Drosophila melanogaster: one gene and its partner. The protein of the gene in region 2 interacts with the protein of the main gene of each other region in a pairwise test. Each region holds a gene or a part of one and is shown on either strand. Other genes may lie near its edges.

Region 1 (3,065 bases), on a different chromosome or scaffold from region 2:
CGAAGAGCAATTGATTGGAGTTGAACTTGCTCGACCGGATATTGCAGTATCAATTCTCGGCAAAAGTGCAGAAGGCTTAAACGAAACCTTTTTGCTGCTATTGTGGCTACGTGCCCACTGGACGCAACTGGGTAGCACCAGAGCCCCCCCCCCCCCCCTCCAAAAAAAAGGACCCAAGTGACGAAAAACAAACACGAATATATAGGGCAAAAGTACGTCCGGCCACCACGCCCCATCAGCCAAAAACAGAGAATAGGTCTTACGACTTTTGGTACTTGCGATGAGACAAGGGAATGGCCACAAAAACGGAATGCAAATATTTTCGCTTCATTTTGGCCGTCGTACATTCCTGGCCCTTGTTTGCCGGCACTGTTGTTGCAATTAAGAGTGTTTACGCTGCCTGTCGGGCAAACACGCCCCAAAAATCACTTAAAACTTGGCATTTTGCCTTCATTATTGTTTGTAATGCTGTGCAAAGGGACACCTTTTATTATAAAAAGTAAAGCAATTTAACCTAACATATAAAATATAAGAAGCTCACACACATATTCATAAGTTTTTTTTTTTTGAAGATCCAGAATTGCAAGTCATGATATATAATTATTTAAATAATCGTGAAAATTGCAATGATTTTCATAGAATTTCAGAACCATCTGCGGTATTTCCACATATGCAATTCCACTTGGCACCACTTGTGGTTGATCGAGATGCCAAAACCTAATTAAAAACGATATTTCACCATTGTTTTTAGCGCCTTTTAGAATCTCTTGTGCAGTGAAACCATGATTAAAAGGACTATCTACTACTAGACATGGATCGATTTTCAGTCGTTTAGCTTTAGTTTCATATTGATTATTCAGCTCTTGACCCCTCTTCAGACTTTTTTGTGATTCAATCGAATCAATAAGTGAATGGCAATCGAGATCTGCTGCCGATTCCCAGGTATTATCTTCATCGCTATAATCCAGCCATTTGACCAAGTATTGTAATTGGCCCATATAATGCCTTCGATCCAAAATCCTCTCTACAATATACTCCTCAGTTTCTTCAAAATCCGTCGAATTTTCAGAGAAATTCGAAACGGTCTCGCCACCATCGGCATCTGAATCCATTTTATATTTTTAAATGTTCAAATAGTATTTTTTTGATGAGTTTTGACAGCAATGTCAGAGCGAAAAACATTTTCGTAACTTTTTATCTACAGTTGCTACTCAACAAAACGTAGTTTTCTGTGCAGACAAGTTTTCTTTTAAATGCTGGTCTACTTTAATATCTTCTTGCCAAAAGAAATAAAATTATGAAAAATATTGTAATGAATTCGTTTAATATCCTGAAGTAGAAAAGTTAGCCATATACTTAATGCCCACAGCTTAGGAAATGCGGCATTAATAATACCAAATTCAATAGCAGAAAGTGAATAAAATTGTTTGCCGGAAATCTATTAGAGATCCCTGGATGCTGGGTAAGTCCTTTCGAACAACAATAAGAATAAGATGAGCCGTCAAAAGGAAAAACTGCGGAAAATATCGTAAAAAATTATGCGTAAACTTGGCGAAAAGTTTGAAATACTCGTAGAACAAAGTTTTTTTCAGTTTGGTTTCGTGTATCACGTTGTTTAATGAACAAAATCTTTTGCCTTTCAAGGCAAACTTTGCAGGCCACAGAAATCGTTGATGAATCACTTGACAATAAATTGGGGAATATGCTTTAAAAATTTGAAAGGTGTAACAACTAGTTATTTTTCTTATTTATCCTTCATTGAAAAACATAAGTTTATGGCTTCCCTCGAAGTCAGTTCCACATTTTATGGCTTTCTTTTGTAGAATGAAGGCGCCACGTACCTGATATTAAATCGGCAAAGTTTTATTACCCGAAATTAAAAGCTCGATTATGCGCGATGACGTGGGACAGATTTGTGGGATTGGGTCGCTTGGTTTGAATACTTTTTAGAGGCCAGCATTTACATGCGAATGTGGCAATCAAACTGTGCAGTGAGTGCTACGTGGCCGGAATAAATCAGGCGACTTATGAAGTAGGATGGAGTTGGAGATTCACGGCAAATACATACATAAAATGTGCGCCTTCGTCAACTGCAGTACAGTGAAGATTCGAAAATCGAAATGGAGTGGAGGGGTGGTCAAGAAACGTGAGGTGCGGTTGTTTACTGAAGCCGTAAATGGGGGGCCGGGCAATTTCCGTGCGGCGAGTTGTGAAATCAGCGTCAAATCGGAAGCACAGGAAGTGGAGAGGTGAGCAGTCGGCGCAAAAGTCAATGTGACTGCCTATGCCATCACTTCCGGCAAATATTGATTGCAGGGGGTGGTGCCTAGAATGGCTAAAAGCCATTTCTGCCTGGGTAAATTCAATGTAATTGATAAGCGAACTCTGCCGGCAGATAGGCGGCAATGAGCATAGTGTCCTGGCACACAGATACCCCATATATGTATGAGCAAACATACTGGCACACAGACACACTAGCAAAAGACACTCAATTAAGAAAACAATGGCGGCTCGGTTTGTGCGGCAATTGAGTTTTTCCTTTTTGCCATCTGCGTTGGCCGTCTTTGTTTAGCTTTCGGCTTTTCCTCTTACCCCGTTCCCAATTTGCCAGTAAGACGCTTAGTCTTGCCACAAGCCCATCGCAAAATGCTCTCTCAGTATTCTCGTATTTGACTAGTACTGCGATATCTTTGCCTTTTAGCCAACTTGAGTTTCTTGGGTTTTTGGCCCCATTCTACTCCTTTATTCCTATCGCACGCTCATTAGCCGCTGTCTTCGAGCCAATTTTACTGTCACTTTTTGCCTCCAGTGCTGGCTGTAGTTCCTTTGTTCGGATTCCTCGCTTGACTTAACACACTTTGGGCTAATTTCCAGTTTTATTTGATCATCATTATAATTATTGTGTGCTTGTTTTTGACAGTATTACGGTCATAATTTTTTTTTTTTTTTTTTTTTTGAGACCAATATTTGATGTTTTTATTATTTGATCAACGCACTGTTACCCATGCGGCAACTTAATTTGATCTGCTTAAATTATTTTATTTTACAATGTGTCTTGGTTACTT
Region 2 (4,503 bases):
TCGTCTCCAGCAGCGAGCAAATACCTTTGGCCACCACGTAGCCCCTTTCGCCCGTTTCTTTTACAGTTTGCTGCAGTTTTTTCAGCTCCTCGGTGGGATTTTGACTGGAACTTCTCACCAGCTGCTGTGTGTGCGCCACATTCTCGGCGATTAGCTCACGAATGCTTGAATTGCTCCACAGATGACGACCGTGGGCGAGATGCTCGCGCCCACACGCCTCCAACAAGATCCGCAGTCCCCGCAGCAGCGCCGCAGCTTCTTGTGCGGATCGCGACATCGCGGAGCGAGGAAATACTGGTTTATTGTGCACTGCTCTCGCGTGGGTGATTCGCTGGTGATGATCGGCGCGTAGGATTACGTAAATCTCGTAAAAATATCACAGCAAAAAAAGTTCAAAGAATCGCGTAATGTTGTGAAAATGCGGCGAAAATCAGCTGGCAAAACAGCTGACTGGCCATCTAGTGCTGCCATGCTGGCGTTTTAACAGTGGCACCATGGCATCTTGAGCTTTTTCTAGCTTTTAAAAGCCAGCTTGCTGCAGCACTAGATTTTGCACTGAAGCCAGTGCTGTTTCTTTGGCTCTTTTAGCTTGCTTCAGCTTTTATGCAAAATTAGAAAGAAACATTCAACAACTAAACAACTAAAAATTTAAATACTCCATAAAAACTAGGAATACTGCTTAAGTGGCCTGCTAACAGAGGCCACATTTATTCAGCGGCATACCTTAGGTCGTACAAAATTTTACTAAATTAAGTTTGTTTACCGAAATCCAGATCACACGTTAATATATATACACAGCTATATAAAGTTTCGTGACTAACTGGAGTTTAAGCTATTCAATTACACTATAGCCACGCAAATGGAATCCTACTTCCTGGGCAGGCGACCAGCACGCTCCATGGTGGCATCCTGGAGCTCCCAGGCGGGCCGATAGCCACCCAGATCGCAGGAGCAGACGGCATCGGAATTAGAACCACATTCACACTCGGCATCGGTGCGTCGGAGGTGCGGATTAGGCACTGTGTTCGCACGATTCCCGATCGAGGTGTAGCCCCGATCGTACAGGCTGCAATAGGGCACCGAGTTCAAGTGGATGTAGTGCCAGACGTCGTGGTAGCTCCACTCCAGCAGCGGATTCAGGCGCATCATCGGCGGCCAGTCGTTGTCCGTGGGCTAAAAAAAAAATCGAAATTAGCATCACTAGGCACTTGGGGTTTCCTAATAGGAAACAGCAGTTTCGAACTTTCCAAAACTATTTCAAGCTAGCTTCATTATTATCTTTGTGATCTTGTGAGATTTTCAAATAAGCGGGATACATTTGGTTTTGTAAAATACTCGAATAAATTCTATGTTAGGTGGTGAACCACAGAACTCGCTTATCTGCGGAATGGAATCATGACATTCGAAAATGCCACTGTCACTGTGATATTGGCAAAGGGCACATACTTTTCTAGATTAACAATGGCATAATTTTGATACTAAGGCTGTGACTTTGATAACTTGGCTTTATAATCAATCTACTACTCTTGAGAAAGAAACTTTTCTTCACACTTGAACCTACGAACTCCTGAGCATTTCAGTGCAAAACATTTAAATATGATTTATCTCCTGATTGCTATATTCCTAACCAGCTTCACCTGCATGGGCGCCAGATGCTGGCAGTAGGGATCCGTGTTGCGGCTGCCCACGAAGACGGCCTTGATCCGCGGCATGTCCGACGACATGTGGGTGAGTGCCTCCTTGAGCGTACCCTCGTACTGAACCAACTGGACGCGGTAGTTGCGTACGCAACGCTCGACGAACTCATCGATTTCCGGAAACGAATCGCCGGATTTAATGTACAGCATGGGAATGTCGCCGCTGGAGATGTTCTCCTGGCGCAGGTAACGCATAAGGAGATCGAGCAGCACGGTGCAATCCTTGCCGCCGTTGAAACAGAAAATTAGCTCCTCGACGCCGTAGATTTGCAGGGTTTCGGCGAAGAAGGCGAACGCTTTATTTTGCCGCTCCTCAATGGCCAGTCGATCCTCGGCTGTTAGTTCCATTGGATTTGATATATCCTGTCCCTTTGCCACATCCTTGGAGTTCTCCGAACGATCCGACATGCTCCGTTTCTCTAGAAACAAATGCTTTTTGCTAATGCTCTTTGCGCATAGAATGCTGTTGTTCGCTGTAATGTTTGTGATGTTTGTGATGTTCTTCCGGCATTCGTTCATGGTGCTCAGTGGGCGTAATGTTTGTGGGAGGCGTGGCCGTGCCCTGGCTAGCAAAAACGATGACGTCACACGCTGTTAAAGTCAAAAGAGCAACTATTAGCACTCAATAAATAAAACATAAAAAAAACTTTCGCCGAAAAATATCTTTTTTTTGCGTGTGTGTGTGTGTGTGTAAGTATTTACTTTATGTAATTTTCTAGGCCCATAAACAAACTTTAACTGTGCGATGAGCGTGGTAAATGCTTCGGCGGTTGACGTGCGAGTGAGTTGGCTTATTTGTGGCCAGCCAAAAATTACATCACTTTCGTATCGGAAAAGTCAGCAAAAACAAAAAAAAAGTGATATAAAGCCAAAACCTCAGGCCCTCACACGCACACGCACACACACGCATGCAGGCCAAACACATGGCGCACGCACACACGCGCATAGCTCACCCAATAGCTCATGTGTTTCGTTGCTGCATCGACTGTTTACTGGCGCACATTTAACTGATGAGTTACGGCGACAGCAATGCAATTATTCCATTTTGTTAATTGTTATTCCGCGCCAGTGATTTTCCTTCCTTTTTTCGTCTTTTTAGTGCAACAACAAGCGAACGGCGACAACAACAACAACAAAGCCAGGAAGCTTTGCGTACTATCGGTGCATCAGCTGTGCGCTGAATCTATCGATTGCACTCGATTAAGGCGGTTGGCTAGCTAGAAATTCAAAAAAAAAGCTAGAAATTTATACATTAAATAATTTTGAAAGTTTCGTTTTGATTTTAATCCGCAATTTCGCATATCGCCAGCAAATGCGACATATATACGCAAATTTTGTTTCTGTTCCGTCTGAAGTAAAATAAAATGTTCGTAGTTTAAATGTTTTATTCGACAATAACAAATTCGTGTTTGTGTGTGTGCTTAACAACAACAATAAAAAGCGTAATTAAAGTACGCTCTACACATCTAATAAATGGGCACTGTTGGCGTTTTCTATCAACTGGGTGTGTTTTCTTCGATTCTTGTGGCTTTTTTTCTTCACGGAGAGAAAATATCACATAACTGGTGATTTCATCCTGTTCCACTGGGCGCTTTACAAATTTCGATGCAGTGCATATAAACTTCGATATAAATTTCATGTACGTTCACACTTAACTTAGACATAAATATTTAAAAACTAAGTTCATTGTCTAAAAGTTAGCAATATGATGGCCAGAATGAAATCTGAAAGTGGTGAAAATGTTGGTTTTGAAATAATGTTGCATTTGGTATGTAGAATATTTCCGCACAATCATTCAAAATATGCATCTCTTGTGTGTGGTAATTTTGATAGAGCCGTTTACAAATCGTAATTTTCATCGCTGAAACGTAAGCATCTTCGGTTTTTTTTCCGTGTACAAATTAGACATCCTTGTTATCCAGAATATCGTCGATGAGTCCGACGACCTTCTGTCGAAACTTTCGATTCTGCTTGCCGTTCATCTCCTTGATGTACGGATGCAGGCTGATCAGAAAGGAGTAGTCGGCATCCGGTTGTGAGCCACCTCCTCCTGGTCCGCCAGTGAAAACACTTAGAGCTGACGTAGCCGGCTGCGGCGGCGGTGGTGGTGATGTTGGTGTTGTTGTTGTTGTGGTTAACTTGTGATGACCGCTGCCATGTCCCTTGAACCACTGCGTCAGATCCGACCAGCCCAGGTGATTGCCCAGCGCGGCGGCGGGCACCGAGACCAGCGACTGCTGGCTCACCATCCGCTCCAGCTGCTGGTTCGCATTTGACGAATCGTGCTCCACTTTGATGGAATGCAGGCGGAGCGGCAAACAGGCGGTGGGTTGCTCCCGATCCTGTTCCTGATTACGACGATGCTCCTCCTCGGACACCTGAACGTCCAGCGGCATCTCACCATCGCTCACCTTGGCCTCCTCCTCCGCCGCCACCACCTCATCTTCCTGCTGAGCAGTGGCAGCTTGGCCGGGTTTGCGGAGCACCATGCCCGGCAGCTGCTTGTGGCAGGATCGCGACTTGGTGAACGGAACGAGAAACTGAAGATACTTCGATAGGTAGTATTTGCGCTTGCCGCGTCCCGTTTGTGTGCGTGCCAGCTTCAGGGATCGCAGGAAGCTGCTCCTTATGGTGCGCCATCGCTCGCGACAGTTGCGAACTGCAGGAGAAACAAAACACATCTTTTACAGTACAAATTTCTACGGTACAAATTGAAACTTGTTCACCAAAAGGTAACCACAGTACTGAGTTGATTTGCACATCAAACTCAATTCTTGGATTTATACTTGTTTGTAACATGGAATAT

The links.
Region 1: the proteins of Flad1 (region 2) and HP1e interact in a two-hybrid assay, tested with the Drosophila melanogaster proteins (one large-scale study listed by BioGRID).

What each region holds. Positions count from the first base shown.
Region 1 is NT_033777.3:9,319,873-9,322,937, reverse strand, and holds HP1e (heterochromatin protein 1e), read right to left. Parts: upstream 1,169-3,065; 5' UTR 1,113-1,168; coding exon 588-1,112; 3' UTR 577-587; downstream 1-576.
Region 2 is NC_004354.4:12,900,679-12,905,181, forward strand, and holds Flad1 (flavin adenine dinucleotide synthetase 1), read right to left. Parts: upstream 2,839-4,503; 5' UTR 2,663-2,838; coding exon 2,651-2,662; intron 2,485-2,650; exon of another isoform or gene 2,400-2,484; intron 2,289-2,399; coding exon 1,638-2,288; intron 1,174-1,637; coding exon 868-1,173; 3' UTR 675-867; downstream 1-674. Other genes in the region: Coq8 (coenzyme Q8), read right to left, coding at 1-277; CG4404 (uncharacterized protein), read right to left, coding at 3,599-4,356.